Regions from separate parts of the Mus musculus genome. Here all the other regions are reported to be linked to region 3. The links are microRNA targets in miRTarBase. Many come from high-throughput screens and were not tested one by one. Region 3 holds a microRNA gene; each other region holds the end of a gene's coding sequence.
Evidence for each region. Region 3 holds the annotated microRNA mmu-miR-694 (CUGAAAAUGUUGCCUGAAG, at 2,095-2,113, shown strand). A microRNA usually pairs through its seed, bases 2 to 8, with sites in the 3' UTR of a target mRNA and lowers its output. Matches are read on the target gene's strand: a 7mer-m8 pairs with bases 2 to 8, a 7mer-A1 pairs with bases 2 to 7 and ends in A, and an 8mer does both.

Region 1 (3,000 bases), not on the chromosome of region 3:
TAAAAAGATTTTTTTTTCACACGTGTACATATGTGTACATATGCGACTCGTGTGTGAAGGTCAGAGGTCAACATTTTGAGGTCAGTTCTCTTCCACTTTTACATGAGGTTGAACTCAGTGACAAATGCCTTTACCAGCTGAGCCATCTTGCCTGTCTTTAGCCTCTTTCTCTAGGGCCCACCCACCTCCAAACAGAGGCTTGATAAATTGTTTCCTTGATTTTTGTTTCTCCCCCAGTACAACCCTCAGCCTCAACCCCTATTCCTGAGAGTTCTGAGACCAGCCAGACCATAAACACGACTCCAACTGTGAACACAGCCAAGACTACAGCCAAGGACACAGCCAACACCACAGCCGTGACCACAGCCAATACCACAGCCAATACCACAGCCGTGACCACAGCCAAGACCACAGCCAAAAGCCTGGCCATCCGCACTCTCGGCAGCCCCCTGGCAGGTGCCCTCCATATCCTGCTTGTTTTTCTCATTAGTAAACTCCTCTTCTAAAGAAAACTGGGGAAGCAGATCTCCAACCTCCAGGTCATCCTCCCGAGCTCATTTCAGGCCAGTGCTTAAACATACCCGAATGAAGGTTTTATGTCCTCAGTCCGCAGCTCCACCACCTTGGACCACAGACCTGCAACACTAGTGCACTTGAGGGATACAAATGCTTGCCTGGATCTTTCAGGGCACAAATTCCGCTTCTTGTAAATACTTAGTCCATCCATCCTGCGTGTAACCTGAAGTTCTGACTCTCAGTTTAACCTGTTGACAGCCAATCTGAACTTGTGTTTCTTGCCAAAGGTATTCCCATGAGCCTCCTGGGTGTGGGGGTGGGGAGGGAATGATCCTTCTTTACTTTCAAACTGATTTCAGATTTCTGGCCAAACCTACTCAGGTTGCAAAGGACTTATGTGACTTATGTGACTGTAGGAAAAAGAGAAATGAGTGATCATCCTGTGGCTACTAGCAGATTTCCACTGTGCCCAGACCAGTCGGTAGGTTTTGAAGGAAGTATATGAAAACTGTGCCTCAGAAGCCAATGACAGGACACATGACTTTTTTTTTCTAAGTCAAATAAACAATATATTGAACAAGAATACCGAAATGTGCTAAATTGAAAGATAACCCTTAATGAGTGATAAAATACAAAGTGTTACCTAACTTTGTTTTTAGAACTAGGAATAAAAGTGTGTGTGTGTGTGTGTGTGTGTGTGTGTGTGTGTGTGTGTGTGTGTTTTCAAGGACAGATGCAAGGTTAATTTATCTCAGTTTTGTTTTGTCCAGTCAAAGCTGGTCATTTCTTCCTTGATGATAATTTATACCAGGAAATGGGCCAAAAAAGAAAATGCTTGTAATATTTATAGTACAACGTGAAACCAAAAAAAAAAAGTTATTTCCAACAATAAGCCTGTAATAAGAAATAAAAGTTTTCCTTTAATAATTCCTTTTCTATACCGTCCAGGACCCAGGGGTGAGCACCACCCAGCTCAATCATTAATCAAGAAAATGTCCCTCTGCTTACATTCTCTCCTCCCAGATTACCCTGGCCTGTGTCACGCTGACAAAAGTCTGACCAGCTCACAGTGTGCATAAGGTCCCGCATAACATTAGTCTCTTCTCTGTGCTGAGTCTGTTAGCTGCTTTAATGTGTGCCTCACGGGCAAGCCTCACCAAAATGTGCTATCTTGAGAGTCGCCTGGTTATTCTGTCCACTTTTAAAGATAAGTCTGAGGGGTCAGAGAGCTTCTGAAACCCCTAAGCACAGAGCTAATACCTGGGCACAGCAGTCCTCCCTTTGCCCCAGCTCTCTGGAGGCTGGAGAAAGGACTAATGGGAAGTTTGGGCACAGTCTGGTCTTCGAGGAAGTTCGAGGGATACATAGCAAGACCCTGGGAGGAGGGAAGGAGGCAGGAAAGGAGAGAGAGGCCGCGGAGATGGGGAGAGGCTGGGCAGGAACACAGTCCTGCTGCAGATGCTTGGTTTCCACATGTACACCAGGATTTGAGTCCCGTCCCGTCCCCCCGTCCCCCCGTCCCCCCGTAGCTGGCTGAAATGGGAGCCACCCCTGCTTCCTGGAGTGTGGAATGATGACAGTATCGTTCACGGCAGAAGCAGTAACTACAGAGTCAACTGTAGCCCTGATCACGCAGCCTCTCGGCGTGTGTCTTTGATTTTTCTGGTAGTCTGTTGTTTTCTGAATGGAGACAGTCTTGCCTTTCATAAACTTTGGTCATTTTCAATCCACATTTCTTTGCTCTTTCAGCTTCCTTCTCTGTCTCCTTCTGAAACTCCAACTATAAATATGTCAGTGCGTTTGCATCCCAGAGACCATTTTTTTTCTTTTTTTCTTTTTTTCCTGCTCCTCAAACTAGATCATTTCAACTGACCTCTCTTCAAGCTCTCCAATTGTCCTGCCTCCTCAAGTCTGCAGGTGAACCTCAACATTATATATTATTATTATATATATTATATATATTACCTGTTACACCTTCCAGCTTCAAAAGTTCTATTTGGCGTCTTTCTATAATCTCTCTCTGCCCACCTCTATTCTGTGTGCAGAAACATTTTCCTGGCTTCTGGTCTTTGTCGCTGTTTCAGTCCCCACTTTGAACATAGTTAAGATGTTGACATCAAGTCTTTGCCTCTTAGGCCCAGTGGCTGGTCTTCCTTGGGAACAATGTCTGCTTCAGTTTTTTCCCTTTGTAAATTTCTGTTGTAAACTGGGTGTTCCGACTATTACAGTATCTTGACTCTGGAAACCTGATTCTCTCAGTTGTACAACTGCTGGTGTTGACTGCTGCCACTGAATATAACTGCAGACTGCATTCTTTGTGTGGCCACAGAGTTTTCTTTCCTGATTTCTTAGCAGTTAACCAGTGACCTTAAAGATTCTGTTAAATGCCAAATTTAGCATTTTTGCCCGATAGCTGGTTTTTGTGTTTGTTTGTTTGTTTGCTTGCTTGCTTGCTTGCTTCTTCTTTGCTGTTGTTGTTGATAA
Region 2 (3,000 bases), not on the chromosome of region 3:
CTTATTCTAGGTGTTGGACTTCATGGTTTCTGGAGTTATGGTTTTAAATGTTTCAGTAGTTAAATTAATTAGCCTCTGGAAATTTTGGAGCTCTTTCGTAATGTGAACATGTGATTTTATTTAATATGACTATTTCTCTATATGCTTTGTTTTTCAGACCTGGTTGCAGCATGCTTGAAATATGGGATGTGGAAGACCCGTCCAACGCAGCTAACCCTCCCCTCTGCAGTATCCTGCTCAAGGATTCTCGGCCGTACTTTACCACAGTGTTTCAGAATAGTATGTACAGAGTACTGAAGATTAACTGAGATCAAGGTGTCCCAACCTGCTGTAGTGGAAAGATGTGTATCAAAAATGAACACTTCCAGCCTTATTTACAGCAATAAAATTCACAAGCTTTACTAAGAAGACACTTTTAAAGCAAGATAAAAACTATTTAAATTTTTCTGGTTACTACTAATGATAAATTACTTCATTATTTGCATTGAATGTCAGTCTGTCAAGCTTACCTCATAAATGATTAAGTCACCAACAGATGTTCATTTTAGAGTTCCAAGGGAACGTGTATGGAAAATATCAATATAATTTTAGAAACCAAAGCGAAGTAATTCCTTTTCAGTCCAGCTAGGTGAGTTGTTTCAGGTTTCCCTAGTACCCATGGATCAGCCCAGACCTTCTCAGCCATGGAAACGAGCACAGGCTCTGAGAAATCCGATGATGGTGGTAGCCTCATTCAGTTTTAGTTTATGATGAAGACGGTATTGCTTTATAAATTTTATCTCCCAATAAAAGCTATCTATCAAAAACGCTTTGAAAATTGGTAATTACCTTGAAGATAGAGTATGTCCATCAAAGAGTAAAATTGTCTCTTTCTTTTCATGATAAACTTTAAACATGCTAGATGTTTGATATGCATCTGCTCCAAGTTAAGCATCTTGGATTTTTTATACTTGTATTTTCCTTATGTTTTTGGTCAACCATAAAAGATGATTCAATTTCATAGATTAGTTACATATAATTACTTGCAATAGGTATGCAATTACATCCCAACTTTTATAGTTGGAAAACATTTTGATGCTGAACACAAAATAGCTAAGAAAGAATGCTGAATTGTGTTGATTTTAACATTTTCAAGTAGTTTCTTTTCTGTGTGGAGCAAAGAGGGGAACAGATATAACACTCATTTAAAAGTAACATGTTTTGGACAATGTCACTAGAGGGATATTTTAAAGTAATTATTAGAATTCAACAAAAATGGTACGAGCTATGTTAACCAATAAAGTGTTCCTTGTACATAATTTTGTCCTATGAATTTTATTATTTTCATGTGCAAAACCTATTACATCATTTTAAAGGTCCTCTCCTATTTCCAGGTCTCTGGGACTTCCTACAGATTCCCCTCCACCAGCTCCAATTACTCTCCAAGCCCTCCAGGCTTCTCTCCTGTCTCTCCCCACATCTGATCTTGCCTTCCCATTCCTCTTCCTCTTCCTCTTCCTCTTCCCCTCCCCCCTCCCACCCAAATCCCTCCCTCCCTCTGCCTCTTATGACTATTTTGTTTTCCCCTCTGGGTGTGATTCAAGCATCCTTTCTTAGACCTTCTTATTTAACTTCTTTGGGTCTATGATGTGTATCATAGTCATTCTATTCTTTATGGACAATATTCACTTGTCAGTGAGTGTGCTCCATGCATGTTCTCTTGAGTCTAGCTTACCTCACTCAGGATGATTCTAGTTCCATCCATTTGCCTGCAAAATTTATGATATTCTCATTTTAATAGCTGAATAGTATTCCATTGTGTAAATAAACCACAATTTCTGTATCCATTCATCAGTTGAGGGACATCTGGCTTATTTCAAGTTTCTAACTATTATGAATAAAGCTGCTATGACCATTGTAGAACACATGTCCTTGTGGTATGGTGGAACATTTTAGGTATATGGCCAGGAGCAACTAAAAATGAGAAAAATCATAAATTTTACAGGCAAATGGACAGAACTAAAATCATCCTGAGTAAGGTGAGCCAGAATCAAGAGGACATGCATGGTACATACTCACTAACAAGTGAATATGGGTCTTAAGTGATAAAAACTGCATGATATTTGCCACTGACCTTCTGGGTCCCTGTGTCTGCGTGGAACGGGGTCTCTCGACGGCGGGTGGGCAAAGCGTGGATGAATGACAGACAGACACACACACAAGAGAGTTTGTGTGGAATCTGAGTGTAATTTTACAACTCGAGCATCAGACATTTTATGCAGAGGACAATAAGGAAGTTGGGTGACATATTCGCAAGGTACAATTGAGGTAACCGGAATCTTACATAAAACAGAGGAATGCAAACACAAAAGGTCTAACGGGAACCACCCAGGATAGACTACATTGATAACAGCTGGGATCAACAAGGGCTCCACCTAAAATTCACTAATCTTAGAAGCCAGGGTCAAGGGCTTCGCGTCCTTGCCATAGTTCCTATTTTAGTCTCTTGTATAGTCCACCTTCCCCTTAGGTCATTGTAAATACATGTGTATGGGTGTAACTCTGTTATAATATCTATTCTGGTTTCTCCTTTGGTCTGAAACTTCCTTCTTCCTAAGTGATGGTAAATTCCTGTGTAAGGGAGTGAGTTAGCTTTTACAATCTTGCTGAATTCTAAACCCTTGATCTTGGTCAAGGATGTCCTTGGACTGTTGGAACACTGGCGGAAGGCTTTAGCCATGTTAGAGCACTTATAATAGGAAAGTACTGAAAGAGAGCACGTGGATCCATACTCTAGACTAGCACAGTAATGGAACTCGGGAATGAAAAATTAATGTATGGGTAGAGAACACTAGACTCCAGGAGGAGAGCTTCCTTGAAACACTTTTGCCTCATGAGTGACTTTTAAGCCTTTCGGCATGTCCAGTTGACTCGACCGGAGAGCATAGCAGATATTTGTACAGAAACAGACAGGTTGATCAATGAAATAGAGTTGAAGACCCAGAAATAAATCCACATACC
Region 3 (3,152 bases):
GTATAAAAGTTCTGTAGGGTAAAAAAATAAATAAGAAAAAAGCCTCCCATCTGGCATTATGAGAGTTGGAAACTCCAAAGCTGTACGTTTGAGTTCGTTTACTGTTAAGCGTCCGCTATCCATGAGAGAAGCTCGTTTCCCAAGAGCCTCCCTGAGAGAAAACCTAAATTCTCATTTACGAGTGGTTATCATTCGGAGGTATTTTCAGGGTTAGGGATGGTCATGGGTCTACTTCTCTTTTCAGCTTTAGTACCCCATCCGATGTGGATATGGAAGGACTGTGCGCCCTGTCTCAGTCTCTGAGTTGGTCCTGATGCACTTAAAAGACCGTGATTTACTGGTGTCCTCCATCCCTCCTGGTCTTCTATTCTTTCTGCCTCCTCATCCACAGGGTTCCCTGAACCCCGAGGGGAGGGATTTGATGGGGACAATCCAATTAGGAGGGAACATTCTAATCTCTCTCACTCCCTGCATACTGTCTGGCTGCGGGTCTCTCTTTGTTCCCATCTACAGCAGGAAGAAACATCTCTGTTGACAACTGAGCAAGACACTGATCTATGAATATAGCAGAATGCTGTTAGGACATTTTGTTGCTATGTTCCTATAGTGAACAGTAGTATTTTGTTTACCCCTAGGTCCCTGGGCTATCTAGTCTCCGGTTCTTGGGCACTTGAGCAGTGTCATGTATGGGTTCTATCACCTGGAATGAGCCTGGAGTCAAGTCAGATATTGTTAACATACTCCTGTAATCTTTGTGCCAGCGTTTCCCTACTGTATTTTGCAGGAAGGACATCATTGTGGGTCAAAGGGTCTGTAGTTGGGTTGGCATTCACACTTCTTTAGTAGTATGCAAAGTACCTGCTGGTACCAAGAATGGGAGGTCTTTCCATCTTCTGATACCGTAGTCAGTTTCCTACTTCAGGGTCTTAAAGTTTTTATCATCCAAGTCTTTCACTTACTTGGTTAGAATTACCCTCAAGATATTTTATATTTTTTGAGGCTATTGGGAAGGATGCTGTTCCTGATTTCTTTCTCAATCTGTTTGTCATTTGTGTATAGGAAAACAACTAACTTTGTGAGTTAATTTTGTATCTTGCTACTTTGCTAAGAGTGTTTATTAGCTATAGGAGTTTCCTGGTGGAAGTTTTAGTGTCACTGATAATGTAATATTCTATCATCTACAAATAAATATGTACTATATATTTAATTAGAATATATATTCATTTATATACTATTATATCATCTACAAATAAATATATACTATATATTTAATTATAATATATATTCATTTATATACTATTATATCATCTATAAATAATTATATACTATATATTTGGTTAGAATATATATTTATTTACTTATATACTATTAATATTAACTTCTTCTATTCTAATTTTTATCCCCCTAATCTCATCTTCAGTAGTTTTCTTGCTGTGGCTCAGACTTACAAGTACTATATTGAATATGTATGGGGAGAGTGAACGACGCTGTTTTCTTTCTGATTTTAGTAGAATTGCTTTGAGTTTCTCTCTGTTTAAGTTGGTGTTGTCTATGGGCTTGCTGCAAACTGCTTTTCTTATGTTCAGGTATATCCTGTGTCTCCCTGACCTCTCCAGGACGTTTACCATGAAGGCAAAACAACATAAAATTCACACGTAGTATAAGACATTTGACTCTAGTATTGAATTAGGTACAATTAGATCACCCCTTAGCGCTTCTGGATTTTTAAACTAGTTTTAAAAGATAAAATAGATTCTCGATTCATACTCTCGAATCTTTGTTTCAAAGAAGAGGCATAACTTACCAGTTAGTTTCCAGCATGTCTGATAATTCTACATAGTATGTGAGCTGCATGGTGAGCCTTGTATTCTGCTCGCCTGAGCTCACATCAGTTCAGAGGAGTCTGCAGGTGATGAGCACAAGTCTGACCCCAGGAATCTCCAAGTTAGGGTAATTGGTGTGAAAAGTGTTTCTGTGCATTCAGATGGAGAAACCTGAAAATTACAGCTGTTGTAAGGTAAGAGCTCCCGGCGGCAAAGCTGCCAACTGGGAGTCAAAGGCCAGCTCAGGCATCGCTTTCAACCCAAGACCAGGCTGAAAATGTTGCCTGAAGCAGTCTCTGCCTTCTGCTTTCATCACAAATACCCGACCCCCACTGCACCCCCTGCCCTGTGACCTGCTCCTGGCCAGACAAAGGCCAGCGGTAGCTCCCCAGTTGGAAATTGCATTCTCTCTCCATTTCAGTGCAATTGTGGGGCTCACATTTCCTGTCCTGGTTCTCTGAAGATGGCCTTTGGGTTAAGAAGGGAGTTTGAAGATAATGGCTTAGTCATGGGCTGGGCTTGTGGTCTCGGAAAGGTACCATGCTCAAAGCTGGTCTGCTGAGCAAAGAAACCCAGGCTAGACTGTGTGAGCATTTCCAATTTCCACTTGTCATCAAAGGAGCTAACCAATGCTCTACATTCTGCTGGAATGGGGGCGATATGCTTCATGCACCTAAGCCAACTTGGAATAGTTCTACCCCTCCCCCACCCCACCACCCCACCACCCCACCCCCAGTTCATGTGAGCCGTGATCCTGTCATGATTTGTACTGGCTTTAGTCAACCTTGTCATGTTGGAGTGGTGCAACAGTCCCCTACTTAAGCAGCTTAGTCTAATCTTTGGGAGGATTTTTTTTTTAAAGAATGATTTATTTATTTTTATTTTATGTATATTAGTATTTTGTGTGGTATGTGTGAGAATGTCAGATCCCCTGGAATCAGAGTTGTGATCTGCCATGTGGAAGCTGGGCATTGAATACTTGCCCTCTGGAAGAGCAGCCAGTGCTCTTAACCACTGAGCAATCTCTTCAGCCCCGGAAAGTTTCTGTTTTGTTTTTGCTTTTTTTTTTTTTTTTTTTTAATTGACAGCTGATACTTGGGCCCCAGCCCTAAAGAGTCAGATGAAATTGGTCTGGAGTAAAACATGAGAAACTCAATTTGTACTATCAAGGTTGGGGACCAGGGACTTCACAGCACCCTGTGAGACACACGTGATTATCAGTAGAATCCTTCCCACTTCACAGCTGAGAAAGCCAAAGCCTGGGGTGATCAGCAGACTTGCTCAGCATGGACATGATCAGTTAGTGGCATAGCTTGCCTGTGCAGATTC
Region 4 (3,000 bases), not on the chromosome of region 3:
TTGTCTCTCAATTTTACTATAGACTGTTTATGGCACATTTTTAAAAAGAATGCTACAGCAACAAAAATACTAGCAATTTTATCCCATTCAAGATAATTCACAGTGATCAGTGTCTTGTTTTCGATTTTACTTACATATTTCTGTAACTCATCTTCATGTCTTTCACCCTCCAGCATGAAGGGAGGGCAGGCTCCTCCACCGAACTCCTACTGAGGGCCTAGCAGAAGACCGACCTCAACCATCACAGAACCCAGAAAACAGGAGCCACCGTCTTTGTGCTTGATCCTACTGGGCGGCAGCGACTCAGCCCCCGTGGGTGGGAGAGAGCAAGGGTGCGAAGGGCAACTGCTCTGACTCACATGTCCTAACTCTTGGGGACTCCTGAGGTGAAACTGAAGGCTAAACGCTCAGGTGCCTCTGAAATTTTATTTAGCTATTCTTTATTATACACACACACACATACACACCCCTCGCATTTCGATCATATCCACTCTACCTTTCTCATACCCAAACTTCCCCAGACCCCTCCTCATCCCTCTCCAATTTTCCTATCTTCTTTTACTTTATAAGCCAGAGTCCAATCAGAACAGGCCTTGGCCTGGGAGGTAACCCAGTGGTGCAAAAGCAACTTAGAGATTGCACCACTGCAAACGGACTCTCCCTTCTCAAGCAATCATCAACTGTCAAAAGCTCCCAGCTGGAGGTGGGACCCTCTCAACCCCCACACCCCATCCATGACCCCAACCACTCTGGAATGCTGACTGGCTGGTTCATATATCGACAGCCACAGCTATAGTGAGCTTACGAGCACAAAGGCCCCCTCATGTCTAGAGACTTGCAGCATCTTCCCTGGTCTCTGCTCTCAATCTCTCTGCCTCCTCTTCCTTCGGGGGTTAGGGATGATGGAGATGTCCCATTTGGTGGTGGTGGTGGGATGGGGTTTACCGTTCCTTGATGTAGTACCAAACAGTGTATCTTAAGGATCCTTTTGTATGCACAGCACACTGCTAAGAGCTAGGTGCCAGATTCATCCAACATCCTAATCAGTCCATGTCTTAGTGATGCTGATGTATTCAAACCCCAGGGTTCTAGTGGGTTGTACCCAAGAAATGGGAAGCCTAGATCCTAACACAGAGCTTCGTTCCTTCTGGTTTCCACTTCCTTAGAGCACTTGGTAAAGTCAACTAACAAATGAGAAAGAGACGGTTGCAATGAGTGATGTTTGCACACAGTGCAGTGTGACTCTGAGCATCTGGGATGCTGTCAGATTTTATAACCCACATCACCTCTACGCCTTCAAAGTGACCCCAATGCACAAAGGACGTTTTGTGCTATAACATTTAAGTGGATAATAGCAGTTATGATCAACTTTTATTGGTGTTTTTTTTTTTTGCACAAATAGCCATTAGAATAACTTTATAAAAACATATCTTCTCCCTCCACAAATATACTTAGCTTACAACAACCACCTTTATGTTTTGTTTTGTTCATTTGCAGAAGAGAGGGAAGAAATAGAAGATGAGGTTTAAAAGTGTACCTCAGGTAGATTTAAGTACTTGGCAATTATTCCCTTCATTAAAAAAAAGTCAGCTTTGTAACTGAGAAATACATCAAAAGTGTGTCCACTTGATTAAAAAAAGATGTCACTGGGTGCCACAAGTTTATACCTAGCATTATCCAGATTCATGTCTGTAGGGTTATTAAACAGTGGTTTTAAATGACACACTTCAAGCTGGGCAGTGGTGGTGCACACCTCTGATCCCAGCAAGGGCAGGCAGATCTCTGAGTTCGAGGCCAGCCCAGTCTACAGAGTTCCAGGACAGCCAGGGCTACACAGAGAAACCCTGTCTTGAAAAACCAAAAAAAGAAAAAAGAAAAAAAAATGACACTCACCAAGATCTTCAGTTAAATAATCTCCTATCTAGACTGAATTATGGAAGAGCTGACATTTAAAAAAAATACCATTTATTTATTCATTTATTAAAATCTGATAATGCCCCAGAGAGTAAGGTGCCTCTGTATAGGAAGTACAATCTTATTACATCAGCCATTAAGCAAATCCTATCCACTGCCACTCACGTATCAGCTTGCTTGGACTGATATTCCTATTTGAATGAAGTCCTGCAACTCCCCAGCACTTCGGTGGAGCCAGCCGCTCCCGGGACAGGACCATCTTCATCGTTAGGGTTTCCTGGTTAGTCTCAGTAGCGTTTAGCACAATGGTACTTTTTTTCCTTAATGAGTATGCATGGACTAAGGCAAAAGGACACAGACCAGCTTCTTGAGTAGCTTATTTTCTATCGTATTTAAAGATGCTTCAGAGCTGTACAGGCTGCAGGTCAGCCGGCTGAAAAGACAAGTTGTTCCTGGACCAATGTCGGACAATTAACCAAGCGATTACAATGCTCCCGGTGTCTTCCCGCTGTTTACTGTCAGGACCATCCCTCAGCATGACACTCAAGCAATGCTGACATTCCAATGGCACCACTTATTTGCTAGGTATCTTGACTGTGTAGATTATTTTCTTATTTAAAATAGTTAATAACTGGGCAATAATCTACTTATTCTTTGTAAACTCTCCATTGCCTACTTTTTTGCCTTTACAGCCGTTTTCTGCAAAGCTGTTAGATTCTTTTTCTGTCATGTTCTTCACGTAACTATGTGGTCCTTTCCCTTCAAAAGAGGAAGGATGTTTAAAAGAGCCTCCAATTCTATCCCACAATGTGAAATACTGTCCATAGTTATAGTCAAAGAACATGTGGTGGTCTGTGTGGTGAGCTGACCCGTTAATAAATGGCCTTAAGATCTGGGGAACCCGAAAATCACCATCATGAATAGAAATTGTCCAGACATTAACCAAGACATATAAACCTAAGTAGACCACCTTGTGCAGTGGAAAGACAAAGGGGTATATATGGTAAGGCAGACTCTGAAGGAAGCCGTCCACAGGGTGAAAAGCATGACTTGCAAACGGCGTGGGGATCTTCCAAATATGATGTG

Region 1: miRTarBase lists Plet1 as a target of mmu-miR-694. Seed matches in the 3' UTR shown: 7mer-A1 at 1,237-1,243.
Region 2: the mRNA of Dpy19l2 is a reported target of mmu-miR-694. Seed matches in the 3' UTR shown: 8mer at 1,127-1,134.
Region 4: the mRNA of Sc5d is a reported target of mmu-miR-694. Seed matches in the 3' UTR shown: 7mer-A1 at 1,850-1,856.

What each region holds. Positions count from the first base shown.
Region 1 is chr9:50,504,040-50,507,039 of GRCm38, forward strand. Plet1 (placenta expressed transcript 1) reads left to right here. Exons shown (of 4, transcript NM_029639.2): 4 at 238-1,600. The coding sequence ends at 506. It overlaps Plet1os (placenta expressed transcript 1, opposite strand), which reads right to left and starts at 766. Exons shown (of 3, transcript NR_040714.2): 1 at 582-766.
Region 2 is chr9:24,555,345-24,558,344 of GRCm38, reverse strand. Dpy19l2 (dpy-19-like 2 (C. elegans)) reads left to right here. Exons shown (of 22, transcript NM_001166207.1): 22 at 158-1,297. The coding sequence ends at 308. Among named protein-coding and RNA genes, the nearest start is that of Dpy19l1, 54 kb to the right of the region's middle.
Region 3 is chr18:66,218,237-66,221,388 of GRCm38, reverse strand. It overlaps Mir694 (microRNA 694), which reads left to right and starts at 2,056; the gene lies at 2,056-2,125. All of the region lies in intron 2 of Ccbe1 (collagen and calcium binding EGF domains 1), which reads left to right.
Region 4 is chr9:42,252,785-42,255,784 of GRCm38, forward strand. It overlaps Sc5d (sterol-C5-desaturase), which reads right to left. Exons shown (of 6, transcript NM_172769.2): 6 at 1,393-3,000. The coding sequence ends at 2,558. Among named protein-coding and RNA genes, the nearest start is that of Sc5d, 10 kb to the right of the region's middle.